Lytechinus pictus: one gene and its partners. The protein of the gene in region 4 purifies or fractionates together with the protein of the main gene of each other region. This does not show direct contact. Links are inferred from orthologs where the notes say so. Each region holds a gene or a part of one and is shown on either strand. Other genes may lie near its edges.

What was found. Proteins that work in one complex are often made in the same cells at the same time.
Region 1: the proteins of prohibitin 1-like (region 4) and stomatin-like protein stl-1 purify together in Homo sapiens (affinity purification with western blotting; 3 studies listed by BioGRID, with this or other methods). This does not show direct contact. The link is inferred for Lytechinus pictus from reciprocal best matches to the Homo sapiens genes PHB1 and STOML2.
Region 2: the proteins of prohibitin 1-like (region 4) and ER membrane protein complex subunit 2-like purify together in Homo sapiens (affinity purification with mass spectrometry; 3 studies listed by BioGRID and IntAct, with this or other methods). This does not show direct contact. The link is inferred for Lytechinus pictus from reciprocal best matches to the Homo sapiens genes PHB1 and EMC2.
Region 3: the proteins of prohibitin 1-like (region 4) and calnexin-like purify together in Homo sapiens (affinity purification with mass spectrometry; 3 studies listed by BioGRID and IntAct, with this or other methods). This does not show direct contact. The link is inferred for Lytechinus pictus from reciprocal best matches to the Homo sapiens genes PHB1 and CANX.

The regions. Positions count from the first base shown.
Region 1 is NC_087249.1:20,892,545-20,900,612, forward strand, and holds the start of stomatin-like protein stl-1, read right to left. Parts: upstream 3,133-8,068; 5' UTR 3,004-3,132; coding exon 2,947-3,003; exon of another isoform or gene 2,755-2,946; intron 1,941-2,754; coding exon 1,803-1,940; intron 715-1,802; coding exon 615-714; intron 338-614; coding exon 279-337; intron 1-278. Other genes in the region: DNA polymerase iota-like, read left to right, coding at 3,518-3,532, 4,988-5,147, 6,457-6,588, 6,967-7,131, 7,806-7,958. UniProt on the Homo sapiens protein: Mitochondrial protein that probably regulates the biogenesis and the activity of mitochondria.
Region 2 is NC_087245.1:30,467,394-30,475,314, forward strand, and holds the start of ER membrane protein complex subunit 2-like, read left to right. Parts: upstream 1-4,789; coding exon 4,790-4,805; intron 4,806-7,921. UniProt on the Homo sapiens protein: Part of the endoplasmic reticulum membrane protein complex (EMC) that enables the energy-independent insertion into endoplasmic reticulum membranes of newly synthesized membrane proteins.
Region 3 is NW_026974140.1:13,618,641-13,626,479, forward strand, and holds the start of calnexin-like, read right to left. Parts: upstream 3,133-7,839; 5' UTR 3,073-3,132; intron 1-3,072. Other genes in the region: coiled-coil domain-containing protein 138-like, read left to right, coding at 5,540-5,569. UniProt on the Homo sapiens protein: Calcium-binding protein that interacts with newly synthesized monoglucosylated glycoproteins in the endoplasmic reticulum. It may act in assisting protein assembly and/or in the retention within the ER of unassembled protein subunits.
Region 4 is NC_087245.1:23,409,185-23,417,303, forward strand, and holds the start of prohibitin 1-like, read right to left. Parts: upstream 3,183-8,119; 5' UTR 2,587-3,182; coding exon 2,490-2,586; intron 1-2,489.

The DNA of each region.
Region 1 (8,068 bases), on a different chromosome or scaffold from region 4:
ATCTGGAAAGAAATATAGCAAAAATCTGCGACACAGAAGCAAACTTGGGAAAAAGTCATATTTTGATAGAACGCCATGCTTACTTTCTTATACATGTACAAATAAGCACTAATTTCATTACATACTAACAGAATTAATTTTGTAATCATTAACACAACTGGAATTTATTTGTAATCTACAGTCACCATACAGATCAAGAGATCAAAATGACTTGTCAATACGTAAGTAAAATACCCCAATCTTTTAATCATCAATATTTTCAATAAGTAAGATATTACCTTGTACGCATCCATGACTCTTAGATACAGAACTCCATCTATCCTTAGTGTCACATTATCTTTATATAAAATAAAAGGGAAATAAATAAAATAGGATTAAGTGTTCGCTTTTTGAATAGCTATCAACGTTTCGCCCAGTTAATGATAAAAATCAGAAGTTCAATTATACACACTTTTTAAGTAGATTGTAAATTTGTTACAACTCCATGCAACTATAATCTTCAAGAACTCTTGTCTTGTTATTCTTATTTTGAAATCTTTGATCCTGAAAACATATATATCCAACCAAGTTGCCAATTATTGTATGATATAGTAAGATAAAACAATAAGTCTTACCATGAGTCACTGCACTTTGCTCTGGAATGTCAATAGCAATTTCTTTCAAACTCTGAACATACTTGATCTTGTCAAGCACTGGAATCAGTAGATTCAATCCCTGCAAAGAAAAACATTCTTAAAATGATTTCTTGTAAATAAATGTTGCCAGTGAACCATTCAGCAGCCAATAAATCACAATGGGAATTGCAGTTCAAAATATAGAGCTTGGGCCAAAAGTTTTAATAAAAAAAATTGATGTACTTCACTGATCAATCTATCACCTGACCAAACCCTTAGTGTCATCAGCAATGTGTTCTTGATTTAAAATAGCATTCTTTTTTAAATTTCACAATAGAATTATCCCAGGATATGAAGTACATACACATCTAACAACTTACTATAAAAATGTGTGCATAACTCCATAAGCTAATGCCTTAAAAACTTGTTTCTTCTCCTCTTCCTCTTACTCCTCCCATCAGCATATCCTCCTCTTCCCCTTCCCATTTCTCCACCTCTCTCAAACACCCAACTTCCTCCTTCTCTTTCGTTTTCTTCTTTTCCCGCCTCTCCTTGCATTATCTTCTCCTACCTAGCCAGGAGGCTTCTAGAGAGTAAAAATCATTTACTAACGTATGCTTACTCTCCACAAAGCCAGGAATTCCTACCTATTCATCTGCACGCACCAACCAAAAACCTGAAACTTTCGCCCCTAAGATTTCTACTTTCCTTCTAAAAGATCTAGCCCTAAATCATGTACATGGGATACAACTTCATTTCCGACATTTCTACGCTATCAATTTAATTTTTAAACAAGAATTCATCATGCGTCCGTCACGTTGGGGAAGAACAATAGGAAACAAGATGGCGGCGTAAACATCGGGCAAGTCTCTTCCGTCTTTTCGTATTTTTCTCATTTTTTTATGAATTCTTGTTTAAAAATTAAAGCGTAGAAATGTCGGAAATGAAGTTGTATCCCATGAACATGATTTAGGGCTAGATCTTTTAGAAGTAGAAATCTCGGGGGCGAAAGTTTCAGGTTTTTGGTTGGTGCGTGCAGATGAATAGGAAGGAATTCCTGGCTTCGTAAAGAGTAAGCATACATTAGTAAATGATTTTTACTCTCTAGACTAGAAGCCTCCTGGCTACTCCCACCCCCTCTCAATGTAATTATTTGGATACTAATACAAATAGGCAACAATAACTCACAGGTTGAAGAGTTTTGTAGAACCTGCCCATCCTCTCCACTACCCATGCTTCCTGCTGAGGTACAAACAGGATAACTGTGTTCACTGCACCACTTGAAACGCACCTTGCATGTTGGGTAATCACACACTGCTGAAGTCTCTGTCAATGAAAAAATTAATGTTAAGATTCAAATTTTCCACTTATGCCTAAGACATGTAAGACATAAAAATTTACACAGATTAATCTCATCTCTCACTAGAATTTAGAAATGAGGAATTAACTGAAATTAGAAATCCAACGTCAAGAATATCAAGTGACAACTTTTTTTCTCTTCAAATTTAATTGTCTTTAAAGATTTAACGTTACTTATAATTACAAAACATTCATCATGTTCATAAAATGATACGGGCCCTAGGCTAAAGGACAAAACCTGATGCAAGCATTAGCCATTGGGTTTGAAATTTGAGTCATTTTAGAATTAGTAGAGGTCTAACTTTTTACCGGTATTCACAGTTTACTTTAAGTTTAAGTTTCACCGAGCTAGTAAAAATTCTAAAATTGCGATTGTAAAATAAAAATTTGCGATGAAAATCATGAACCTCGCAAATAACTGTAAACTTTGCCAAAAACATTGCGGCAAAACAAAAGTTTGAAACAAAAATCGTGAAATTTACTACTATTTGCAAAGCTTGCAATGAAAATCGCGCACGGGGCGAGAGCCGATAGCTATAGTATACCCAGTTGTTGTGTGTCCGGACAGGTTGTGTGTCCGGACGATCAATTTTAGAAAGTCATTTGGAAAAAATTACAAGCGAAGTTTCATCAAATTTTAGTAAAAAAATTTAGAAAATATTATAGAGAACAAAATAGAAGATGATTACAACTATTGAATTCATATTTTTAGTGTAATCTTAAGACAAAAAAGAAGGCTTCAAAAATATAAAGTGTCCGGACACCCGATCCCCCATCCTATAGGAGTAGAGCTGTTTAGCAGCTACATGTAGCTAGCACTGGCCATCGCCACTAGCCTCAACGCCCCGGCTGCGCTGGGCGCTTGAACGGCACCCGGCCCAGCTCAGCAGGCAGATGACACAACACACGCTCGCTCCACAAGTCCACAACCATCGCTCAGGATTCATAAAAAATTGCAGTAATTTTACATTACCTGTGAAGTTCGTTGAAGAGCCCCGGTCCTCCTTATCATTGTCGTTATAGGTAACATCTTGAAATTGATATTTATGCAAGGATATTCACTTTGTCTTTAATAATAATATGATGAAATCTCAAAAATTCTTAATCTTACACAATACAAGACATAGTACATGCATGCCCATTCAATCATGTACGGTATGGTGGTTGTAATTGTACTAATGAGAAAGAAAATTTGACTTTGGTTTGATCCATTGGAATTAAATTTGCCAATCTTTTATCAATATTTTCATGAATACTGAACTCACCCTGAAGAAACTTACGCCAAAGGGCAATTTTATTTTTAGGTCGCTTTTCATGTTGCTGATTTCAGATTTTAAGGATATTGGCTAGTTTTTGAGATAATGACCTTCACGAAGTATGGACACACGCGAAGTTTGGTCTTTGGACTCACTGCCATACAGCTTTTTGCAAGATAGCATATTTCAGTAATAATAATGCGACATTTGCTCATGTGACAATTGACTTGTTAATTCTGTTAAAACTGGCTTTGGTCTTTGGACATGTTGGATTAATGCACTCATTCAATGACCTGGATATGGGTACGTTAGATCTACTAGTACTAGTTCGTTTTACGGAGGATGTTCAAATGCAATCACCTTTATTTTGTACTTGTAGTGACCACCTTTTTTTCTTTTTCTTTTTCTTTTAATTGCTTGTCAAATTTAAACTTCCGGTAGCACCTCCTCTAAAAAATCGTTCCCAGGAATGCAGATATTTTGATGGGGGGGGGGGGGGGAGTGGGCATGAAGAGTCACCAACAATGATTGAAGGTTATGTCATGTCTTTTCTTTCCTAAACAATTAACATTTGAAGTAAAAAAAAAAAGGCTTCTTTTTCATAACTTTCAAGTTTCAAATTTAAATTCAATTTGTAATCTTTGATTTCCAGTTTGCTCCAATTTTTATCTCACTTATTTCATACCCCTTTCATAAACCCAATAAAACCCAATTATGCTGCTAATAGCAGCATAATTTGGTCGTAAAATCCGAGGAGGACAAGAGTTATCCGCATTATTCTGATGCTGCTATTATCCGCATAATAGCGGCATCGGGACAAGATTTTGAGTTTATGAACATATTTCCAAATAATGCGGATAATTGCCATGGTGCGGTCACAAGGTCACCCTTTTCCAACACAACCGCATCGGAGGGCGCGTGTCCAGTTGTCATGACGATTATCCGCCTTTTTCAGGACGGGCGCTCGTAAAAATAATGCGGATAATTTTCGGAGTTTGTGAACGCAATTTTTATTGAATTATCCGCATTACTCTTAGGCGGCTAATTGATGGAGGATAGGTTTTATTGGGTTTATGAAAGGGGTATAAGATAAAACTTATGACTAAAACCAGTTTGGTTACAGTACTTGAAGTGACTTAATTCTTCCAGTTACATTTTACATTACAAGAAGTTTGAAAAGGAAATGAAAGTTATTCTACTGTATTAAGGGTTCTGGAGTCTAGATCTAAGAAATGAACTTAAATTGCTTGCACATTATTATGAGGAGGAGGGAAGGTTATTGAATTAAACTGATTCAAATCAGGTGAAAACAATTGCAGCAATTAAGATGGAGATTTCATTTGGATTCTGGTCCTGGTTCATTTTTACTTTAAATGTTACTTGTTGCAATATTCCTAAATTGCAACTTCTTGGAAATGAAGTCATTCATAACAAATATATTTTGTTAGCATGAATAATATTTCAATAAATTGCCAAATTTTTTGTGTAAAAAAAACATTGGTTCAAAATATTATAGAGTTGAAGACCATATTTACCTGTGTGATATCATTCACACTAACTAGTATGACATTTGGTATAAATAATGAACTTTCTCCCGTGATGATAGAAATCCTAATTTGAAAAAAAAATACTGGTAATTATCTGTATTCTCAAGACTCAATTATCTACAGCTATGTGGTCTATTATTGAATTGAATAATGGTAGAAAGACTGCCAGGGGCATTCCACCTGTTGCTATTTATTATCTCTCTTTTCCCAGTCACATAGATCAAATATGGAAGGGAGATGGGAAGAACAGGATGACACTGAAGATGAAGCACTCAATGAGGAAGATGACATTGATTGGAGGATGCCGTCAGATATTGGTTCACCCAGCACCAAAGCCTCTTCTTTGAAAACACAATTGTCATCTTTAACTGGTAATTAATCAACAGTAGCTTTTAAAGTACTACTTCCTAGTCATCAGATTTCATTTTTTCCTTAGGTATGGTTTTCAAATAAATAGAATTAGAAAATGTATTATCAAGTTGACCTCTTGTTATCACTTTACAAAATTACTATGAGACTATTAAAGTAAACGTATGCTTTAATGGCTCTGGGAGCAAAATTTCTGTGTTGCTCATATTCATCATGGACAATGAACTATCTTGTATATATTTATGATATTTTTTTTTATTATAGACAGACCAAGACAGTAATACCAAAATGACATTTATGTGTTGAGGTGTTTATAATGTTTTCTCACTTTTTGTAAAGGAGAAAACATTGGACCAAAAATCAGGTCCCCTGTGAGCTCTGCTCTAGAAGATCCATAAAAATAGAGGATTTTTCATAGGATTTAGGTAGCAACTTTCCTGGGAGAGTTGTCCTGTTGAGACTCATTTATATGAAAAGAGTCGATTTGCATAAAGTAGAAGAAAACAACTCTTAGAAAATTTCATCAAAATCGGATGTAAGATAAGAAATTTTACGATTCATTTTTCACTAAACAGTTATATACTCAACATAGTGATATTTATGAGAGAGTAAATGATGTCACCCACTCACTAATTATTATTTTATTATATGAATTATCTAATATTTAAGTTTTTGCAGATTTGACACTGAAGAAACTCTTTATCAAAGTACTTGTAATTTTAGGGGAAAATCAAACTTAGTTACAAAGGAGAAAAAAAGTTAAAATATTCATATTTTATACGATAAAATACAAAAGAAATAGTGAGTGGGTGATGTCATCAATTTCATCATTTGCTTAATGACCAGGATGTGTATATTACCTTTTTTTTAATTAAGCAATTTTTTTTAAATTTCATATCTCTTTTATCTTTAATACTGACATCCAATTTTTATGAAGATTGAGCAGAGGAAGTTTATTTTCTCTTATTATTCAAGTAAACTATTTGTTGAGGTGGACTTTCCCTGTAAATGAGCACTCTATAGATATAAGTTATTATTATTTCATTATTCATAATAATAATTGATGACTAGTATGCAGGAGTAGAGGTTATATGTACATTGTTGTAAAGACTCTACCAGGTGGGTGTTTCATAAAGCTGTTCGTAAGATACGAATGACTTTACGCACGACTGGTAACCCCTTCTTGTGCTAAATGATACATCCCTATGTCATTCATGTAGGACATAAGAACATGTTCCAGTCGTGCGTAAAGTTTTGAGTAACTTTACGAACAGCTTTATGAAACACCCACCTGGTAAAATTTCCCAATAGATGGTCATAGAAATGAGCCTTGTCTACAGTCCAAACTTGGTCATTCCAGGACGATTGTTCACATTGATCTAGATTGTTTCTACGCCCAAGTAGAGATGCTTCGGAATCCAGCACTGAGAGATAAACCATTAGGTATGTACATACAAAGCTCCAACCCCCATTAGACAACGAATGAAAGAAAGAATGAATGAATGACTGAACAGAATTTATAGATGGATTGCTAGCTCGCTTGATACCATAGATTGATGGACAGACAGCTAGAGGGATGGGGTAAATAAAAATAAAAAATGATTGCATAAAAAAATCAGGGGGAAATCATTCAATTCCAACTGATCTTTTGTGAATTTTGATTTATTAAAAAAAATATTCAGGACTTCAGTTTACTTTATTTGTTTCCCATTTGATGGTAAAATATGGCACATTTTTACAAGTTTTCTCATGTACATGTACTAATAATTGATATTTTTTGCATTTTCTATCTTACTGTTTTGCCTTTTTAATCATACACAGGGATCCAACAAAAAAATATTGTCGTGACCACAAACTATGTTGCTCGAGCCAGAGGGGTTTCTAAGCTTTCCTACATCAAGGATGCTCTCATCAAATGCCCAGACCTTGTCCTTGTTAGCGGTGAAGATCTCACCAACTACAGAGACACATCTACCAAAGTGACTGGTGAGAAGTGAAAAGACATTTCCTCCTCTGTGTCCAAGGAGGGAGAGGTGCAAACAATTGGAAACTGTTGAACAACAAAATAATTACTTTGCATCAGATGTTAGATGTGGCATGATTTAAATATTTGTCTTGGTGTCAGATGTTGGAAGCCTTTGGGCAGTTCAAAAGTCTGCTCTCATGTACAATTCTTTGTACGATCCAGTTTAAACTGTAATACATTGTAGCAAGTTCAGCAGGTCCCAAGAAGTATCATCATGTGTTTCAGTATTTTACCTTGTTCAAAAGCATACAGGGGATGAATATGAATAGTAAGAAGCTAAAAAAAATATCCCAGACCCAGTGGCATAACTATTTTTATTGATATAAAATCTGGCCACTCAAGTTGTGTGTGTAGCAGATGATAACTACACGTACATTCAATTTTAAGCTTTGAGGATTTGCACAATGTTTCTGTATTTTTATTTTTGTAGCATTGCTTGAAAATGTAAATATTTTACTTTGTTCTAAAGCATACAGGGGATGAATAAGAATAGTAAGAAGCTAAAAAAAAAAACAAGCCCAGACCTATTTTTATTCAAATTGATATAAAATCTGGCAACTCAAGTTGTTTGCATTTAATTTAATTTTCAGCTTTGAGGATTTGCAACAATGTTTCTGTATTTTTATATTTGTAGAATTGCTTGAGAAGTTCTGTCCATTGGTTGAAAGACTTGGCTTTGATGAGAACTTCATGGATGTCACCCAGCTTGTAGAGTCACGACTGATATCATCTGACCAGGAGAAACTAGCATATATTGGTCATAGCTATGAGAGTGATGCAAAAATAGGTAATGACAATGGCATGTTGACACAATAAATATGATAGGTTGAAGCTGTTTGTAACTGAGATGACTTTAAAGTTTTGTTTAAATGTGATGTTATATTAAAAAAATAATAA
Region 2 (7,921 bases), about 7.1 Mb from region 4:
TCATGCAACTGAGGTATGTTTATACTCTAAACACTCACATTTGTATTTCTTGCGTTATATCTGACAAATAAAATAAATAAATTAGATTTTTCACACGCAGCCTCTCATATTTTCCTTTTTAGTCTCATACAATCAGACACTGTTGATTTTGTTTACTCCATTCAAACCCTATTTTTACCTCAACAGATAACATATTAACGCATAATTTGCAAAATCATCATTATATATATATGTTTTCTATAATAAATCAGTATATTGAACTAATAAAATGTCGAAATTACTTAGTTAACTCTTTGCCCGCCACGGACGACTCGCTGCACATACAGCGGACTGCCAACGACGACTCAAGTCACAGTTCGCACACAATGCATACGGAACGCATTTAATTGTAATTGTGTGCACACAAATACAATAGCGACGCGTGTATTGCATTGTTTACGAATCTAGCTTTCGTGTTATAGCTTTCGCCGACATTGTTTACATTGAGATTATTCGCGTAAAATAGAGTTTTTTGAACTGCTTTAGGATATATTTCGATGAGCTTTCAATAGCTTGCACTGCTTTTCTTGTAATAAAAGAATGATACAAATTGCCACCTCCCTATAACAATAAGGGGATCAATAGGACGGGAAGTCTATTGAGAAGTAGCCAGGGACAATTTCAATAGAAGAGTTTAGTTCATTGTCAGTTTACTCTTTTTGAATGCCCCATTTCAATCCTAAACTGCTTAGCTCATAATGACCATAAAGACATGGATTTGGTATGTAATGAAAGCTAAAGAACACATCTTTTCAATGGACTAACTTAGAAATTTAACCTTCATTAGGAAGTATTGAATATAAGAGGTATAAAATACCCTCCTAAACGAAAAATTGGAAACAGAATGTAAAGTTAAAATTCTCAACATTTATGATTTTATACATAGCAAAAATGATACCATTGGCAAGAGTATTAATTTCTCTAAAACTTTGCTACACAATTTTTTTCAATACAACAAACCAGTAAAAAGTTATTGTGAGTTGAATAAGACAGTGCACGCAAACCCCCTCTGAATGTGGCACCCCAAAATTAATGTGGCGCAGAGGGGATAGTGTACGTGGCGGGCAAAGAGTTAAATCAATTTTTATGTCGGACAAGGGTCTCTTTCGTTGAAATATCAATGAAAGGTGTCTCTAAAAGGACACCGTGTTCTAAATAAGTGAAATAATGAAAATTTCGATTTTATCCAGTTATGTTTGTGAATCTTGAAAGTTTTTTGTCTCACCTGCATAGCAGAGTGAGACTATAGGCGCCGCTTTTCCGGCGGCGACGGCGGCGGCGGCGTCAACACCAAATCTTAACCTGAGGTTAAGTTTTTGAAATGACAGCATAACTTAGAAAGTATATGGACCTAGTTCATGAAACTTGGCCATAAGGTTAATCAAGTATTACTGAACATCCTGCCTGAGTTTCATGTCACATGACCAAGGTCAAAGGTCATTTAGGGTCAATGAACTTAGACCATGTTGGGGGAATCAACATCAAAATCTTAACCTAAGGTTAAGTTTTTGAAATGTCATCATAACTTAGAAAATATATGGACCTAGTTCATGAAACTTATACATAAGGTTAATCAAGTATCATTGAACATCCTGCATGAGTTTCACGTCACATGACCAAGGTCAAAGGTCATTTAGGGTCAATGAACTTTGGCCGAATTGGGGGTATCTGTTGAATTACCATCATAACTTTGAAAGTTTATGGATCTGATTCATGAAACTTGGACATAATAGTAATCAAGTATTACTGAACATCCTGTGCAAGTTTCAGGTCACATGATCAAGGTCAAAGGTCATTTAGGGTCAATGAACTTTGGCCAAATTGGGGTATTTGTTGAATTACAGCCATAAATTTGAAAGTGTGTTGGTCTAGTTCATAAAACTTGGACATAATAGTAATCAAGTATTACTGAACATCCTGTGCAAGTTTCAGGTCACATGATCAAGGTCAAAGGTCATTTAGGGTCAATGAACTTTGGCCAAATTGGGGTATTTGTTGAATTGCCATCATATCTCTATAAGTGTATTGGTCTAGTTCATAAAACGTGGAAATACGAGTAACCAAGTATCACTGAACATCTTGTGCGAGTTATAGTAGTTTTCAAAATCAGCACTGCTGCTATATTGAATCGCGTGATGCAGGTGAGATGGCCAGAGGCATTCCACTTGTTCTCTTTTTACCTCATAAAGTACGCTCCATACATCAATTCTACAATCAGTAATAAATAAAACATTATTTGATCCCCTTTTATTGAAATATATGATTTTATGAAAAGTCGTCATTCCGAAATAAAAGGTTCAGGTGACGATGAAGACTAAATATTTTTCCGATACTATCGATATCAAATGATGTCGCGGACTTGAAAGACAAAATTGCCTTCGTGAAACGGAAAGCGCTGATTTGTCGCCAATCTTCCTATCTCGGAAGAATGGTCCTAGGACGTTCCTACGTAACGCTCATCTCGTCATGCAACAGGCCCCAGGGTCCCAAAAAATAAAGAAAACATTTTTAAAAGGCTCGAGTTTGTTTTGCTGTCCTTGTTATCCCCCCCCCAAAAAAAAAAAAAAAAAGTGAAGGAATGAAAGACAAAAAGAATAAAAGAAAGGAAGAATAAAGAAAGTATAGATGTGAAGGAAGGAAAAAAAGATCTAAAGAAGGAAAGGAAGAACAAAAATTAGAAAGGAATGAAGGAAAGAAATGAAACATAATAAAGAAAGAAAGCTTAAGAACAAAAGACAGAAAGTAGTGAAGGAAAGAAAGAAGAAGCAATTAAAAAGAAAGGGTAAAAACTAAAATGAGATGGAAAGAAGGAAAAAAGAACAGTAGAGGCGCACGGCCAATATGGGAGACTCTCCAATAGGGGAGACAATCTCCCACATTGGAGACTTGCTTTGCAAAAGGACAAAATTTTGTCTCACTGAGGTCATAAGCCCATTTGTTTTGTGTGTGATTGACAACAAAATTCCTTATCAAAACAAAAGTAGACGGTGAAAAGGGGTAATTTTTCATGAGGAATCTGCTTATCACATTTTTATTTGCCGCCAAGGTAATCCTTTTGCAGCAAATGTAAACAAAGGAAATTGGATACCCAAATTCTTTACAAAAGTCTCTGTTAAAATGTTATTGGAGATAATCTCCCACAATAGAGACAGTCTCCAATATTGGCCGTGCGCCTCTACTGAAGAAAGAGAAAGAAAAGGTAAAATGATAGATAAAGAAGGAAAAAAAGAATGAAGGAAGCAAGCAATATAAAAAAAGAATGGATGAAAGGAAGAAAAAAAAGAAAGACAAAGAAAGGAAGGAATGAAAGAAAGAGAAAGGAAGCAAGCAGTAAAAAGAAAGAAAAGGTAAAATGATAGATTGAACGAACAAAGAAAGGAAGGAATGAATGAAAGAGAAAGGGCTGAAAGAAGGAAGAAATAAAAAACAAGAAAGGGTGAAGAAATGATGGATGGAAGGAAGAAAGTAACATAGAATGAAGGAAAGAAAGGGTAAAAAGAAGGAAAGAAAGAAAGAAGAGATAAATATAGGATGGATGGACTCAAGAATTAAAGAAAGAAATTTAAAAAAAAGAGAAAAAGAAGTAGAGAAAAATATTTTTGTGAAGGAATGAAAGAACAAATAAGGGAAATTAAAAAAGAAAGACAGTAACAAAAAAAATGAAAGAAGAGAGGGAAGAAACAAAGAATGAAAAGAAAGAAAACTGAAAATAAATTGTCAGTTTCTTTTTGGCTCAATTGAAATATAGCTACGAAAGAAAGTCAAAAACCAAGTGTATCAACACACACAAATGCATATATGGGGCTACCATGTATTCAGACGATATCACTCGAAGCCCGATCTATTTGAACTCAAAACAAGTGAAAATTTCTCCTTTTACTGCTTACAAATGACAGTTACCCCAATTTTTAGGAAATATGGACATTATAAGAGCTTTTCATGAGTGAATTTTGACAGTTCGGTGAGAGATTTCTGCCAGAGGTTAGCAAAGCTTCGTTCGTGCAGCCAGTAGAAAATTTACCATGTGGGCTGTGTGGCTGGCTTCATGTACACTGTATGTAATACCCAAGTAAAAATTACATGCGATTCTGTGTGTATTCTGTGTGTGAATAACAGAAATTAACGGGAGGAAAATGGTTTGCAATGTGAGTCATGGAATTATGTTTATGTTGGACCAGTGAATTTGACCATTTCTGGAAAAGTTACTGGCCCAACAATGGTTTGTATTACTGGTCCCATAAATCTTGCTATTTTTGAAATAATTACTGACCCAACAATGATATTTTTTACTGGTCATGACGGACCAATAAATCTTGCTATTTCTGAAAATCTACTGGCCCGACAGCGATTTTTACCCGTCTGGGACCGTCGGACCAGCGGTAGTGTCGCGTCCTGGTATAGGTACCAATACCATGGTCTGTGTATACTGTATGGGTGAATACCGGTAGAGAAAAGTCCCCAAATACCGACGAAAATGACTTCAACTCCCTCCCCATCAGTACCTCTAGCGAAGTTCGTGCAGGCTCCACTTCACTACCGCTACACTACGCTCCACCTACCCGAACTTCGAGACCATGAACTCGATCTGATATTTCGAGTGACAAAGGTGGGATTTTATGGGGGGGGGGGAATATAAAATTCATGCAACATCACGATCTTTAAAAACAATTAAAACTAATATTCTTACTTTACAAAAAGTTTCACTTTTCCATGCTTCTATCAGTCTCAAAATTGGTGATTTAGAGTCAACATGAAGTTCCTCACACGTATAAATAATTCGCTGCTGATTTCAAAAAATCGCATGCGCGAGGGTTCGAGCCAGTAACCCCTGTGTGGTGAAATAACATGATTGATTGCATTTATTTTTCATTCCAAAATTTAACAAAAGTTACAATGTATAGCAAAACACAACAAATATAATATACAGAAATGAAAAAAGGGAACCCACTGGAAAGCAAAGCTTGTTAGTATGGGTTCCCTGCAATAAATAGTTAATTAAAGTATATCTTTGATCAATGAAATTAAAATAGTAAATTAAAAAGGTTTGTACAATGAAAAAGAATACTAGTGGGGTCAAGCTTTTTATGCCTACTCACTATGTTACATGAATAAGATTGTCGATGTTTGGCTTATTTTGCGTGATTAATAGATGGGCTGGATAATAAATGTTTGATTTTTTGGCACGTTAGTTTTTAATACAGTAGGGATAACTTATATCTGAATTCATAAAAAGAAAATATGCCTTGGCCCAAAACTCAATAGAAATTATTTTTTGTCTAAATAAAAGGAGAATCTGTGGAGATGAAGATCTGCATCAATCTCACTTTCCACCAATAGAGGGCCTCACAAATATATGCTCAAAATAAAAGTTTTTTGAGAGCTCTGGTGAACAAGAAAAATTTAGTCTATATATAGATTTAAATGAAAACAAATCACACCTGAATGAAACTGGGTGGTTTTTTTGTCACAAAAGTGATATTTTAAAGACCTTTTTGTTTATTTTTAATTGATAAATGAAGGTAGACTACATGTAGGTCATCCCCTGGTGTGGTAATGAGGGTAAATTTGCTTTAAAAAGTGTAGGGAAATGCTACTTTTACATGATGAAAATGCAGAGTCCCTACTGTTGGAGAGGGCCGGACACCCGCTCGCCGCCCTCGTACTTTGATACTGATTTTTTATTATCAAAGGTTGGCAGGTATGTTTTAGTGCAATTAGCCCCAGGCCTTATTTAGAATCAGGGGTGTGAGAGTTCAGATTTTTTTGTTTTGATTTTCAGCTTATTTTTGGCCTTCCTCTGTACAAAAAGTATGGGAGCTCTTTCAATTTCAGACTTTTTCAACACTCTTCAGCTTTTTCAGATCTTTTTATTTGTGACCACTCACACCCCTGTAGAATGCAAATGCGACATTAAAGAGGGTGTTTCAACGCCTACTTTGATACGGGCATTATCTTGGAATAGGTTACCACCGCACCGTTCACTTCAAACGGCAGCGCTTCAGGCTTTATTAAAAAGTAACACACATTGGCAAATGGACTGGTCCCTTATTTCCACCTCCTTTGCCTTTGGTTGAGTCCATTCACATGTACTAGTGTGCATGCACAAATTTACGAGTGGTTCCCTAAAATTATGAAATTATGCAATTCAACATTGGGCTTTCTTATCTCACCAAAGTTTACTTCTTAAAAAAAAGAGATGAAATTTTGTCTTCAAGGGGGACCCTTTCTTGGACTTGCCCTGGACAATTAAACTCCATTTCATCATAAGAATCATGAGACTCTCTTTCGTTAAGAATGTATCACTTATCACTAAATCAATCTTATTGCACATGTACTTAACCTGATAAAGGAAAACTTCTTTTGAAACCTACATGTTATATCATTATAAAGCTAGTAGGTCTTCAGTTTCATCATGATTTGAAAATAATCCAGGCTTGCCTTAAACTAAACAAAGTGGAGAAACAGCAACTTTTGTTTGATGAAAATCATTATTTAATAGCATGTTATGGATTCATAGTTTCACATACACAAGAGTTCTTGAATAGATTCAAACATATGGCATGAAAGAATTATCCTTTACAAATAGTCAAATACCAAAAACATGAAATGTGATTAATGTTGAGAGCAGATATAATTAAATCAAAAGTGGTGATTTGATCTGCACACAGCTCCTTAAAATATGCAGCATATTTCTAGCACAGGGGGGGGGGGGGGTCACTCTTCACATAGACCGCTACCCACCCATGTCCGACAGCCTCAGAAATGTACCCTTAACGGCGTAACTACATTTACTCATTTACTCAATTTGCAACCCTAAATGGCGTAACCAATGAGAAAAGCCACCCTAAGTGGCGTTAACAGGGAAAAGCCCCTAATTCGATACCCTAAGTGCCGTAAACATATTAATTTGATACCAAACTGATTACTGATGTTAAATGAATGTTACATACAACAGGTATAAGTTCCCGGCATTTTTTTTATTATTGCAAGTAAGGCCAGCATAATTTACTCTCAATGACACCTCTCTTCACTTTGAATAGCCATCTTTTAGCCTAAATTAATGAATGCAAGTGAAAAATGTTGTTGCCTTGACTGACTGATGCTTCACTTAAACCATTCATTTTACCAATTTCATCAAAACTTGAAGAAAAAAATGGAATCCATACCAGTTAATGTGTTGAAAAATACATACATTAATTAAACCTCTATATATCTTTTTTTTAATAATGATTAAAAAACAAATCATAGGAATCCCCGGTATGAATCAAACAAAATGGTATTGACTAAAGGCCTAAACCTATAGGCGTGCTGCCTATGGTATAGAGCCGGAGGTACGGAGGTATTCTCTCATAAGTGATGCGCTGGCCAGCGTGTGCGAGGATTATGTTGTCTCCCTTAAAATCACACCCTTCATACTGTTTATGGCTTAGGTCTGCTCCCAAATCTTCTCAAATTTGCAACCCTAAACGGCGTAGAGCTTTTCATATTTGCACCCCTCAATGGCGTCATCTTCATAACCAAATTAGCAACCCTAAATGGCGTGAAGAGAGAGAGAAAATGCTACCCTAAACGGCGATTTACCAGCGAATGGTGCTGAAATGCAACCCTTTTTTCCAAAGACGTCGACGACGCCTGAGTGCCTGAAATGGGACCCTTTTCTACACTTTTTTTCTGGACGTGGGTGCGTAGCAGGCCATGTGGAGAGTGACCCCCGGGATTTCTAGTCTTCAATATTAAAGAAGCTACATTTTTAGGACCTGCCTACGGATTGCGTTTGGGGCTTTGTTTCCAATTTTAATTGAAGAGGTTTTCACTTTATATTTTTGAAATATTTGAGACAGAAATCTTACAAAATCGACATTGGCTGAGGCACTCATATTAT
Region 3 (7,839 bases), on a different chromosome or scaffold from region 4:
CTGGCCAGCCACCGGCCCCCACCGCCAGAGGCCAAATAGAGGGTTCCAAGCTAGCAAGCAGCTCAGAGGGGCCATCCGTAGGCTCATCTGAAGGAATAACAGAGGGCGTGTCGGAGCGCCTGATAGTCCCAGGGAATAATGTAACCGGAATAGCTACTTATGTAGAGGCTGCGGCGGGGGATCCAGTTGGTCCCTCGAACACCCGAATATCAGACCTGGGTGAAGCCATTCTGGAATCAGTTCCAGATGCTCTCCCAGGGCTTGGGTGTGCAAGCGAGATTGAAGAGGTAGTGGTATGTAGGTTGGAGTCGCGCTCTACTCTCAAGGTCTCAGTTGTTATAGGGGGGCAGCCAGTAAGCGCAGTTGTCGATACCGCAGCCGAGGTGTCCATCATCTCGGATAGGCTCCTGCAGTCACTGGACCCCCAGCCCCCTAAACTGAGAGGAGTGATCCTACATGCAGCGGGACGGGATATGAAGATGAGAGGGACAATTGTCGGTCCCCTTTCCATAGAGCTTGGGAACCAGACATTCTCGGAGGAAGTATATGTAGCCCCTATAGCTGATCATATGCTCCTGGGATTAGATTTCCTCAGCAAGCGCAAGGCTGCGATTCACCTCCTAGATCCGCATATGCAGTTGGGAGGTCAGAGGATTCCACTTTGGTATAGTGATGACCCTGGGCGGCAGATTGCCCGGGTTCATTTGCACAAGCGGGTAATTGTTCCTCCGAATGCAGTCAAGCGGATCACCGGCATTATAGACCAACGTTTAGAGGATTTCATGTTTAACCCTTAGGATGGCTTACTGCTCCTAGTTCCCGGTTCGGTTTACAGGGCTGGGAAAACAGAACCCATCTGATAGGCACCTTAAGGTAACCTGCTCTGAGGTGTTGGGGGAAACTGAAAAATTGAAGGGAAGGGAGACGGGATCGCTCCCTGTTGAAAAATGGGTTCACCTGGATCGCGGTTCCTCTACCGAATTACAGGCAAGCAGCCGTACTATTGGGGCTAATGGTTCAGCTTGTAGGTGGAGCCAGTCCAGTACAAGTCGGTCAGGGTGAGGCCAGTGGGCGTTACCGATGGGCAGCTGCCCATCGACCCGTTACGGGTGGAACAGGAGAAGGATCCTACCCTGGGTTCACTAGCGAGGTGGGAGAGCTTGTCACCTCAGCCTGGCGGATAAGGTTTCTCACCCTCATGGAGCGAGCTAGGATTAACCATCTGGCACTCTATGGGGTGTAGTGAGGAAAAAAGGGACTGGAGGAGATCTGTCCTCCATTTGTCACGAAGGGATTTCGATTCCCTTTGCATTTTTGGGTTAGCTTAGCGCGTTTAGGACCCTATATGTTTTTCTGTACGGGAGGGACCAGCCGAGTCGCCTCCTCTTTGTGTCTGTTGTGTTCGTTGTTTTCGTCTATCTTTTTTGTATATTTAGGCCATGTAGGAAATGCTTCATGGTCCGCTTTGGAGGGGAGTGTTTTAAATGGCCCTTTTCGCATAATGGCAGCGCTGACGCCCCCTTCCTGCACCTGGGGGACCTAGGTTGGGTACTGGTGCTCCAGTCTCTCAACCGAACGGGAATGCTATGTGTTGCACAGCCCGGGTAAGATGGTGCCTCGACAGGGGAGGGCCAGCGGCAGCCCACTGCTATGGGAAAGTGGAGCTTTCTGGGAAGGGGGGACCCTCCTGGGATATGGGTTTTTGTATGGGTTTTATATTTTTATATATATATACCATTGTTCTATATGTTTTGTATGGGTTTTTTAAAGAACCTCAAAACTCTAGGTTTTTAGGTGTTATTACGGGTTTTTACCGTTTTCATGTTACGGGTTTTTAAAGTTTAAAGTGTTGAACAAGTTTTTAGCACAGTTGTGCCAAGTGTTTTGGATAGTTTTGGAGTTTTTATTTATAAAAGAACGGAATATGTTTATGGCTGATTACGGGTAGCAAATTATAATTAATTTTGGGAATGCAGACTTGGGACAGAACAATGCTGCATAAGTACTTTTTGCCAAATTTTAAGGAGCATTGTGTACATAAAAGACCAAAGGGAATTTTTAAATGGGCTTGTATTTACTCATGCCCAGCCGGGAGATAAGGTCTCCTGGTTGGGGTGCCTAGGGAGTGGAGAATTTTTTCCTCCCTCTGCCTGGTGTCTGGTTTGGATAGCGTCCATTTGGGTTGGAAACTCGAGGGACCGAGTTTTATAGAACGGGGGGGACTGTTGTAGTAAGTCACCCCACCCCCCATATAGGTCTTCCACCGGGAGATGGCGCTGGACCCCTTTTAGACGCTGGAGGACGTTGGATCCCTTGGATCATTGTATTTGAAGCTGAACTCACACGGAATAGACAGGAACTAGGACATCACTCCAGGAAAATACTGGTTAGTGACTTATTCCTTATATTCTAGCTTCAGGTATCAACCTAGTGGTCAAGCTGGGGGCGCGACCGCTACATATACTTGAAACTGTCCCCACCGCCGTGAAAATCAAGCTTGATTCCCCGTTGAGTGGGGACTGTATCACGAGTATATAATAAATTAATAGGGAGAGAACCCAAGTGTTTATATACACTACAGTGTGTGTTTCATTTGTGTGTGTAATATCATTTTGCTACAGTCTTAGTTTTACAGAGCTGTCCGAGAGTTGGGGACTGTGTTCTGGAGAAGGGAAGTGATTTTCATGCGTTCTGGTGGTAGGTGTGATTCTAATAATCCCCACTTTTGGATTTGGGGACTATATCACGATTATGCCAACCAACATACAGCAAGATTTCATTCATCAACATGGCAACTTCGATTTCTCAAGACCAAGTCTGTCTGGCATGATCACGTCATGACAAGCACAAACTGACAAACAAATTAAATTCCACATCCATTTCTTACACATGGGACTACACACAAAAAGATGATCGACTACACTCGACTTAAGATTTGATTAAAACGCACGATTCCTAGAATAGAATCTACAAAATTGGTTTATGTACAGGTATATACAAATGATGATGTTTTCAATGCCATTTTCAGCTACACTCATACACAAATTCATATTAAAAGGGGTGTGTTCTCACCTTCACGCCGGCGCCGGTAATCGGTAATGAACGCCGTATCGTATCGTCACATGCAAAAAACATCGCATAAAATTATCGCGTGGAGCACGCTGACTGGTCAAATTTTGTGTGCGTTAATTCCAATGTGTAGAAATGAGAGACAATATTCCGATGGTTCATTTGCGTTGCCAATATGTTACTTGGACTACTGATGGCAATTTTAAATGGGTTAAATTCTGTTTTATAGTTTTAAAAGTATAATTTTGATATTTGAAACTGGCAGACGTTTAATCTATATATTTTAAATGCGCTGCTACTTTTTATCTGGCATAATTGTACATTAAAAAAAAAAGAAGAAATGGGTGGGGGAGGGGCACAAAAATCTAAACCTAGCCTTAGACCGGGGCCTTAGACCAATGAGATGGGCATCACTCATCATAGTGGTGGATTAATCCACCTCTATGGCATCACTTAACTTGGCAGTCAATACTCCCGAGGGGGGGGGGGTACTTACATTTGGTTTGGACGGGGGTGTGCGACTGAAGGCTCAAAACCCATACCCATGATATTTACGGGTCATTTTGGCTAAAAAGGTACCCATTTATATTACGGATTTATTACAGAGGCGGATCCAAGATTTTCAAAGGGGGGGGGGGCACGATTTTCCCTGGAAAATTTGACAAGCAAGCAACAACAAAAAAAAGGTTATCACCCATTTCGTGCACCTTAGACTTTGGAGTAATATGGACCCATGTTCAAGGCCAGTATCTAAAAATTGGGGCCATGTTTAGGGATTTTCCAGCATAAAACCATACCCCATGTTAGGGACTTCTTTCCAAAAAGCGACACATTCCAGTGGCACATCTCCGTATGCCTTATTTCGTGAATATATATCCCCCCCCGGGTCAATACGTGCATCCAAGCATGGATCCAAGCCTCGATCCAAGGCCATGTGTCCATTGATAATACCTGCAATCATTTAGCCAGTAAATTTGCATAATATGGGTATATAATTTAGTAGATGATCTATATTGGACATCCAAAAAAAAGCGGGAAGATTAAAAAAAAATTCCAGAAATCAGGACGACCCTGATTCCTATGAGCTATATTTTATGCAAGAAGGGAACTTGTACTTCATCACATATAGTGATTATTTGAGCCATAATTGCTTTCTGACAAAGTTCGAGGAAATAAGTCATTTAAGTAGCTTGGAAATTATTCCACCATGCAATCAATCAGTGGAGGCCAGGATTTTCCAAAAAGGGGGTACATTTTCCCGAGGAAAATTCGACAAGTTTCAAGTTTCAAAATTTATTGATCAAAATCCACACATATTAAGTTACAAATCAAATATATATATATATAAATAAATATAAATACTAAATACAGTAAAAATATGGTTAACAATTTTCAAGGAGCCCTAAAACACTTTGCACGATTTTTATATATGTAAATTATACTAAGCTAAAATCACATTTATATAATTACAAGCAAAAAAGGTCCATAGTGAGTTTAAAAGGGGAAGAGGGGCACACTTCGAAAACTCTGCATAAATGAGAACGTGCCTAATTTAAGTCCCCAGGATTATGTCCGGGGTCTTTATTATTTTTGGACCCCCGCTCCCCCCCCCAAAAAAAAAAAAAAAAATCTGGCCTTCCCCCATTCCCACTTTATAAAGTTTCGATATTTTTATCTGTCTCTTTCATATAACATGTGTGGATTTCTTTTATTAATATTTAGTTTGCAAATGCATGCTAACTTAAAACTTCTTGAAATATAATTTTCATTAAATGATAAAAAAAAGATTCACTCTTCAGGGGCTGCAGAACAGTTTTGAAAGTGGAGGGCGGCTGAGCCAAAGGTGGAGGGCGGCTGAGCCAAAAGTGGAGGGCGGCTGAGCCAAGTGGAGGGCGGCTGAGCCAAAAGTGCATGACCATGCAAAAACTCACTATGGGATGGTAATTTTTACATTTTTGTACCCGGGTTTGGAAAAAAAAAACAGGAGGAGCTGAAGCCCCCCAGCCACCCCCTGTTTCGCGGCTCCTGCCGTTTTTAAAATGAAAATTTGAAATTTAAATATTTCTGAGATCATCAAAACGATCGTCATTCTAGCAGTGCGTAGTTTGGGATGCTAACTTTAAAGATGAATTGCAATCGGCTAAAGACCCTGTAATTTTTTTTTATTATGATAATTTGTAATTTAATTTGTAAATCCTGTACAGAATATTTAGTAAATGTTATTTCACAATCGACTTTTAATGATCTTTGAAATAATTTCATTGAATTCTATTGGTACTGGGTCATTATTAAACTACCGGTACTAGTTTTTATTTTATTTTCTTTATCTGAATAAATAATATTTCATAGATTAAGACTATCTATTGGCACCAAAATCAAATGTTGATCAGCTGTGAATGTCGTCGTGTTTACCACTAACCCCAAATCACCGGTCGCAAATTCAAATTTACCAGAACCTGTGCCTTGTGAGATGTCTCGGAAATCTTATCAACATAGAACTGTAAATACCAGTGCCGACTCAATTGAAATTTCTTAGGTTAAGTTAGCTTAGATTTACTGAATACACGCCAATTCGAATGCACACACATGCACAGACATGTCATTAACGAATACGTACGGTACGGTACCTCAGGCTCAGCCTCAGGCGATGTTCGCGCAGGCTCCACTCCACTTCACTACCGCAGCGGCTAGGCGCTACACTACGCTCCACCTACCCGAACATCGGGACAGTGAACTACTTCAACTAGATCGGATATTCCGAGTCATAAGGTGGGATGGCAATCATGGTTATCGTAAAAGTTAAAGAAAAAAAATATAACGAGGGATATGAATGACTTAAATAAATATTCTTACTCTACACCCGTATTTCACTCCGTGTCCATCCTCCGGTTATCCTCAAAATTTGTGATTTTTGGCCAGTATCTTTTTCCTCACATGTACAGTAGACTAGAGGCGCACGGCCAATATTGGGCATAATCGTGATATAGTCCCCAAATCCAAAAATGGGGATTATTAATATTAGAATCACACCTACCAGAACGCAAGAAAATCACTTCCTTTCTCCAGAACACAGTCCCCAACTCTCGCACAGCTCGCGCTCGAGAACTTGCGAAATGATAACACACTTACACTTGGATTCTCTCCCTATATATACTCGTGATACAGTCCCCACTCTACGGGAAATCAAGTTCACTTTGCACGCAGTGGGGATAGCTCCAACAGTATATTATACTCATGATACCGTCCCCTCACAACATAAAATCGTGCTCGTTCGACAAGGCCAAGGGGATGGGGACAGTTTCCCAGTGTAACGTGACAAGGAAGACTCATTCAAAACCTTCGGGAATTATTATTATCATTGTCATTATCATATTATATTATCATTATTATCATTTTATCATTATATTATTATTGTTATTTAATCATAATTATCATTATTGTTATCATTATTATTGTTGTTATTTAATCATTATTATTGCTATTATTATTATATTGTCAATATTATTATTATCATTATTAATATTATTACTATCATCATCATATATAAAACTTGCACAGACATGTCATTAACGAATACCGCCTTTTACCGGGTACGGTACGGTACCTCAGGCTCAGCCTCAGGCGATGTTCGCGCAGGCTCCACTCCACTTCACTACCGCAGCGGCTAGGCGCTACACTACGCTCCACCTACCCGAACATCGGGACAGTGAACTACTTCAACTAGATCGGATATTCCGAGTCATAAGGTGGGATGGCAATCATGGTTATCGTAAAAGTTAAAGAAAAAAAATATAACGAGGGATATGAATGACTTAAATAAATATTCTTACTCTACACCCGTATTTCACTCCGTGTCCATCCTCCGGTTATCCTCAAAATTGGTGATTTTTGGCCAGTATCTTTTTCCTCACATGTACAGTAGACTAGAGGCGCACGGCCAATATTGGGCATAATCGTGATATAGTCCCCAAATCCAAAAATGGGGATTATTAATATTAGAATCACACCTACCAGAACGCAAGAAAATCACTTCCTTTCTCCAGAACACAGTCCCCAACTCTCGCACAGCTCGCGCTCGAGAACTTGCGAAATGATAACACACTTACACTTGGATTCTCTCCCTATATATACTCGTGATACAGTCCCCACTCTACGGGAAATCAAGTTCACTTTGCACGCAGTGGGGATAGCTCCAACAGTATATTATACTCATGATACCGTCCCCTCACAACATAAAATCGTGCTCGTTCGACAAGGCCAAGGGGATGGGGACAGTTTCCCAGTGTAACGTGACAAGGAAGACTCATTCAAAACCTTCGGGAATTATTATTATCATTGTCATTATCATATTATATTATCATTATTATCATTTTATCATTATATTATTATTGTTATTTAATCATAATTATCATTATTGTTATCATTATTATTGTTGTTATTTAATCATTATTATTGCTATTATTATTATATTGTCAATATTATTATTATCATTATTAATATTATTACTATCATCATCATATATCATTATTTTTTATTATTGTTGGTGTTATTATTATTATTATAATAATGATAGTATTATAAATTATTATATTATCATTATTATTATTATTCTTTATCATTGAAAATGTGCCCCTTCCATCCATTCTGTTCCTTGTATTTCATTTAATTCCTTCAAATGAAATCACTGTAGATCGACTCATAATAACGTTTGGGTATTAATTATTATAATTATCATCATTGGCATCATTTTCATTATTGTTGTTATTATTG
Region 4 (8,119 bases):
ATTATAATGAAAATTCAATAATGATAATGATAATGATGATGATAGAGAATAATAATAAAGAATGATAGAAATAATAATAATATAATGATACATTAATAATCATAATGATGATAATAGCAATGATAATAAATAATGATAATAATACTGTACCCAAATGTTTTGAATGAGTCTACAGTGATTTAATTTGAAGGGGCACACTTTTTCTGGTGAGACCCCCCCCCCCCCCGAAGTTTGTCTTCTTCTTTCTCGATCATTCCTTGTTGTCACATTGGGAAACTGTCCCCATCCCGTTGCCGACCGAGCACGCTGTAGCATCACAAGTGTAATGTACCGTTAGAGCTATCCCCACTGCGTGCAAAAACAAACTGTGTATCCCATGGTGAGGGGACTGTATCACAGTATAGCTACTGTTGAAACTGTCCCCACTGCCGTGAAAATCAAACTTGATTTCCCGTAGAGTTGGGACTGTATCATGACCAAGCTAATGGTATGTCGACCAAGGCTTCATGGAGAGTAAGCCTACAGTACGTCAGTAAATGACTTTTACTCTCCAGAAGCCTCCAGGCTAGCCTGCACGAACATCACTTGAGTTGAGGTAGCCGAGCCCGACGAAGTCACTCCAGCTCCACTCAGGGGCCCGTTTCTCAACACCTGGACAAGAAGTCATATCTTTATCCACCAACCACGGAGTTAGCTCCAATCTTACTAAACCTGTTTCACGAAAGGCTTCCTAACTAAAATAGCTTGATATCGATACTATCGGTAAAAAGAACAGACGAGACGTAGCCTTAGTCACAAAATAATAAAAAAATAATAATTTTCAAAAGAACAATTACAAAATTGCAAATATTTTGATGAATTGGGAAATACATCTTTTCAAAATAATAGCAGAGGTACATTGTAAATTATACATCATACATACTTATACCATGAAGATTGGAACATTCAATTACTGAAAAAATGAAATTATGAATACATGTAATTCATTTCATGAATAAAAAATCACATGCGGACGTTGAGATGGGTACCCCCGGGATATCAAATTTTGATAGTTTACGAAAGTAAACCATGATAATGGTTTTCTTTGTATAATGATGATTATACAGCTTTTTTTATGATACCATCATCAAAATATATCATACCGAAACATACGATTTGACAAATTCTATGCATAGATATTAGAGATATAATTTATCCAAATGTTATTAGAGGTCTGAAAACGACAAATACGAGTTCAGACTTTTCAGTTATGGATAGCCTGACTTTAACACTGACGTGGTAGAATCTTTATTTCACAATGAATGGTTTTGTGGCGTTTTTAATACCAACAGTTTTTATAGTTTCTTTGTATTATACAATTATCATTGAATACATTATCCCACATTCCCACTTGTTTTGTGATGTAATTTCAAGCTCTATGATTGTTTACGTAAGATTATAATTTTGGCGTTATCCTGGTTTAAAGGGCCTGGCAACTGACAAATCATGGGGAAATTGAATCAATACGAAATCTGCAAAAGGCCAATTGACTTGCATAATATAATCTGTCCGTCATGAGCGCCTGTCGGTCTAATGCGAAAAAATTCGGACAGCACACGAATTTGACCGATGCGAGGGTTATTTACTTCGGGTCGTCGCAGTTCTAGCTTCCAACAATCCCAATTCCTAGACTCATAGCACTTTAGCAGGTCTCTTGATTGCTACATGTAAAGCAAAATGAATAACCTCTGTGGAGTTACATTATTATATGTTTCAAAGTGAAAACATGCAGTTTACTTCTGGTTGGTTAGTCTACTATCATGACTATTGCTCTCCTAAGATTAGACCTCCCAGACACGCCGGCGTCTATTACGTAACACCCCAGGCATGCAGCCGAGCGAAAGACTTGAATCCCTTCTCTGTTTTTTAGATTAGCCTTGATTGATTTCCCCATGATTTGCTTTAAGTCACCACTCCATTCACTGCCATGACTGCCATTCATTTCGTCAGCGGCGGTGACTTCTTTCCTCTCCCATTGACTTTGTACACACACGAGAAGAGAAGTGACTTATTTCAGGATAAGGCCATAATTTTCAAATTTCTAGGCACTTTGTCTACCCACGTGATCGTGATGTCATTAAGTCTAACTCTAACTTAAGTCAAGAAAGAAGTTGACACTGACACTGTGACAGGTTCGGAGATGTCATAAAATCTTACTCTATCTTAGTGAGGTTGTTGTTGTACCCGATCTTGGCAAAGAGGGCTTTGTGAAACGGTTAGCGGACAAATAGCTCACTATCTCCGATTTTAATAGTCAAGAAGTTAGACTTATGACGGTGTTGTCGAGAAACGGGCCCCAGCTCACGTCAGAGTCACCATGTCCATGACTCCATGACCATGCAATGTATGCTCACTGACTCACACACTACACAGTAACACAATTCGCAACCAAGCGAGACTCAACATGTTCACACTCACTCAAAACATAATCTCATCATAGATTTCCTCACCATTATATAAGGCCGAATTTGCAATGCCTCCTACAACTGCAACACCAATACCAATACTTCCTAGCCTGGAGAAAAGTTGATTCAAACCTGCTGCCATTTTGTTCCCTCGTCTGTGTTGCGAGTGCGACGAGTCGTAGTTCGTACTACGTCTACGGTACGGTACTGTGTAGATTTCGCAAGAAAACTGTCTAAATAGCGAATGATCAATTCCTGTAATCTTTAAGCGACTAAAAATGGTGAAATATATATTTTACTGATATGCAATCGTCACAAAAAGAACTATTTAAGATCAAGATAGGTGGAATTTGATCTCAAAATCCGTCTCTGTAATTAAAACCAGTGCAGTCACGTCCAGCACAGAATTGCATCACATTTATGTATATGCACGTGTGTATCATATCACTGTACAGCTGTGTGTGCATATTGTATAACGAGGCCTATGAACGAGGCACGTACAACGAGCTCGCATACTATACGGTACGGTAGTCTTAAATATGTAGGGAAAATGATAGATTTGATTTTCTTTTCATATCGTATCATTTTTTAAATACACGTATTTGTGCACTGCAGTCTCATTTAATTTATTTCAGCCAATTTCCATATAGGCCCTACCTCCAAATATGAAATGATTCCAAAATCACACTGTACAGTAAGCCACAGTACTTCCAATACATCCAAAATCGTACCTATTACAATTCAAGCAATATGGTCATATTGCATGGAAGTAGAAAAACAAGAAAGATCAAATCGAAATGGAAGATATTGGACAAAAAAAAAAAAGAAAGATAAGGCGCTTTAAAGGGATGGTCCGGGCTGAAAATATTTATATCTTTGTCATAGAGTAGAATTCACTGAGCAAAATTCCGAAAATTTCATCAAAATCGCATAACAAATAATAAAGTTAGATTGAAGTTTAAAGTTTAGCAATATTTTGTGAAAACAGTTGTCATGAATATTCATTAGATACGCTGATGATGTCACATCCCCACTTTCCGTTTTCTTATATGTCATTACATATAAAATCATAATTTTTTTTCATTATTTCATACTTGTGTAGATAATATGTCTACCTTGTAATGAAATAAGTTGCAGCAATAAATATTTAATGCACGAAATCAGTTGTCAATCCAATTTTTTAGTTCTTGGAGGAAAATTTTTGAATAAACCTAATTTCATATTATACAAAAGAACAAGTTGGGATGTGACATCATCAGCCCACCTAATGAATATTCATGACGACTGTTTTTACAAAATATTGCTAAACTTTAAAATTCAATAACTTTGTTATTTGTTATCCGATTTTGATGAATTTTTCGGCCGCTTTTTGCTCAGTGAATTATATACTCTATTTATTAAGCTATAAATACTTTCAGCCCGGACTATCCCTTATGAGATGGTGATGATAATGAGATTGATCAGAATTTGGACAGGCCAATATTAGGCAGCGGCCCAACGCAACGCGGGGTCAAACTTATTTAGGGTATTTGTTTTTTTTTCCAAATAAAGCTTTTTTTTTTAAGAAGAAAGAGTTCAAAAGAAAGGGAAAACAAAAACTGGACTGCAGACTGTCGGAAAAATCATAACTGTCGGGCACACGGCCGGGCTGTTCCAACTGATTCGGTTTTTTATTTCCACCATCTTTGTCGGTAAATGTCAATTAAACTGTACACTTATCGGTAAATTGTGATTTTTACGCAATGCGACTTTTAGAGCTCTCTGTACCGATAGTGAGGACGGACTTCGCGCTCGCATAATTTATTAAGGAAGATATACCCATCCTACTCATAATTAAGTGCACAAAATTAATATATCGTTTTTAGGTTAAGATTTTCAAAAAAAAATTCGGCTCGCGCTTCGCGCTCGCAATTATAATGTTTATATTATTTTAGTGTAAATTGTTAGGCACGTGTCAGTGAAAGTGAAGACTCTTTTGGGGGTGGGGCTTGTCAAAATTTTTGTAAACAAAAATGTCCCCCTTGAAAATCCTGGATCTGCCCCTGGGTTGGATATAAATTGAGTTTTCAGTCTAATCAAAGTCATTTAACACTATTTTTCAGGTCATTAAAACCTCTGAAATGTCCCATACGTAACGCGCGAGAATTCTTGGACTTGCCCATTTCCACACTGTAAAAAATGAAGTGCTAATTTTGCACTTACAGTGTATAGTGACTGCACTACGAGTGCCGATTTTGTAGTTCAAATTTAAAGGACAAGTCCACCCCAACAAAAAGTTGATTTGAAAAAAAGGAGAAAAATCCAACAAGCAAAACACTGAAAATTTCATCAAAATCGGATGTAAAATAAGAAAGTTATGACAATTTAAAGTTTCGCTTAATTTCACAAAACAGTTATATGCACATCCTGGTCGGTATGCAAATTGGCATACTGATGATGTCACCCACTCACTATTTATTATGTATTTTATTATATGAAATATGAAATATTCTAATTTTCTCCTCCTTGTCAAGTGCAACAAAGTTTTATTTCTCCCTGAACATGTGGAATTACCATTATTTTAACAGTTTATGGTGAAGTTAAGTTGGTCCGTATTGTCAAATCTGTAAAAATTGAAATATTGTATTATTCAAACAATAAAAAACAAAAGAAATAGTGAGTGATGTACATCATTGACTCTCTCATTTGCATATTGCTGAGTTGTGCATTTCACTGTTTTGTGAAAAATAAGCGAAACTTAAAAATGTCATAACTTTCTTATTTTACGACCGATTTCGATGAAATTTGCAGCGTTATGTTTGTTTGATTTTTCTCTATCGATTCAAATCAACAATTTTCTGGGGTGGATTTGACCTTTAAGCTAGAAAATCAGCACTCGTAGTGCAGTCACTATACAAGCACTGTAAGTGCTAAATTAGCACATCATTTTTTACAGTGCATCTCCTCATTATTGCCGTGCTCAGTTTCTCCAGTCATTGAGAAATGTCTTACCATACATTATTCTTTTTCCTTCGTCATGATTTTTTTTTTTTTTTTTTTTTTTTTTTTTTTTTTTTTTTTGGGGGGGGGGGAAAGAAGCCCCACCCCGATCTGTACACCACTATAGAGGTGGATATCCATCTCGACGGTACAAACATAATTATTACAAAGTAGAAAATTAGACCCGAGGAACGATTTGTGAAATACGTGTGTGTGTGCAGGGGCCGCGGAACGGTTTTCAAAGTGGGGGGGGGGGGGGCTGACCATGCAAAAAATCACAATCATATGGTAATTTTTACGTTTTTGTACACGGTTTTGGAAAAAAGTGGGGGGGGGCTGAAGCCCCCCCCCCCCCCCGCTTCCGCGGCCCCTGGTGTGTGAGAGGGGAGGGGGGTTGGTATTAATTGATTTTGGATGAAATACTTAAATAAAAAAACATGTTGAAAAGAATGTAGGCCTATACATATAACAATTCTATGGTTATTTACGTTTAAGACGTTTACAATAAAACGGAAATGATCAGCAGGAGCTCCCAGCGCCCCCAAGTTTCCGCGGCTGACAATGTGGTACTAAGCATTTTTTTCTTTGCATCAGGAATGATCCATGCATTCTCCCAGTCCATGCATGATCATTGGTAAGCATAATAACCAGTGGCGGCGCCAGACCACGATAGGCTTATGTTGATAGGGGGTAGTGGGTACCGTCATTTATTTTGTTTTCCTCAATAAAACGATAGCTAGGTATTCTATATATTTTCGTTCGTAATCACACCCCCCTCGTTTTTACCGTTCTTATCATTCTCTATATTTCACCCACTCCTCCCCTGCAGATTTCCTCATCTCTTCCAATATCCTATCATAAACTGAGCCCCCCCCCCCCCCATTTCTCTCTCTGTATCTCTCCTCTGCTCATGGCCAGACACATTGCCTCCCATCTCCTTCAACCTTTTTGCCGATTGAAACCTATTATATCACCCACGCAGATCTTTGGGACATGCCGTATATAACCACCAGAGGCGGCGCCATCACGATGGGCATATTTTGATAAAAGGAGGGCGTAAAAGGTGCCGGGTACTGTCTTGAACTTTGTATTCATCAATAATTATACGGATATTTTATATACTCTTTCGTTCTTTATTTTTTCCTCGTTTCTCATGTTCTTAACTCCACCCCATTTCTCTCTCGATCTGTATTCTTCATCTGCTCATTATTGGGCATACACATTTTTTTTCTTTTTGCCCTATCCATATCACTTCCAATTCCCTCGCTCTTCTCTTTGAACCTCATTTTTGCCGATTGAAAACCATATCGCAAGTAATAATAGAGCCTACCCTTTTTACCAACTCTTTTTCTTCTTGGGGACTTACAAGTTGGTGTGTTCTGTGAATAGATTTATAAATTTTTCATGGATTGTAGAGTAGGTTCACATTACGAAAATTCTGAGTAACAGTAAGACTTTTTGATGCCTTACAGTAACAGCGGGACTTTTAGATGAAACCACTAAGCTCAGGCTAACAGTGAACGTCTTTTTGCTTAACTTGTTGCTTTTGGTTTCAACAATATCAGTCTTATAAACTTGAATGTAGATTTGATTTCTCAAATTGGTTTTGTGTCTTTCAAATGCAATACTCCAGACATTACAAGCAAGACATCACGATGAACTTGAAAACATATATACGCAAATTCGGGTTTTATGTATCTTCGACGAATACTTGAAAAAATATACCATTTGCGACCTATTGGGGTTATATTAATTTCAAAACGTAATAGGTCTTGCTTGTAAGTCGATCTCTCAATTTCAAAGCACCCACTACATTTAAAACCTCACTACTTTAATGAAAGAAACGTACAAACCATTGTAATTATAGCATATTTTATAGCGAATGTTGTCAACGTTCAAATAATATAATCTCGAGGTAGTAAAAGAAAATCCTGAAAGAATAAGATGCACGGGGCACCCGTAAGTGATAATGCAATTTAAGTTCTTTGAAATGCCTTAATTGCCCCATTTTTTATAAGTGTAATTTATTTTCAATATAAAAACAAATGTACATTATGTTACAAAAATGATATACACAAATACACAAATGAAATCCGCTTGGAGCAAATTTGCTGAAGAGATGACAATCTGCAGATAAAGAGAATACAAAGAGAAGAGAAAAAATATTTTAAGCCATGTTTATAATACATGAAGATATTTATTGTTTGTATCCTATGCCTAGCCTGAATGAAAATTTTCACGACTAATGAAACGGAACATGTCAACGGCACGAGTCTATATTACATGGAATCATATAGTAACTAAAGGAAATGAAACCTTTAATTGGAACAAGTGGGTTTGTGTGAAAACAGAAAATTCAAAGAATATGATCAAAGGTTTGAGAAAAATCGGAGAAACATTGAGAAAATTACGATCACTAATATTATGGAGATCCTCCGTTAGTAATGCGACAAAGATGTGTGAGGTCACATGTGAACAACCTTCCCTTTGAAGGTTTTTCAAAATATTCAAATATTCTGTCCGGCAAATTGTCGGATCTTACAACTTTCCTCGATTTTGATTGGCTGAGAACTTGTCGGAAACGTCTATGTCCTTTTATGGAACGCTCCCCAGGTCTGTTTCAGATTCTAATTAAACACACTCGTATGATCACTCACCTTCCTAACGGAAAGAAAATGGTCTTGACCTAGCACGTA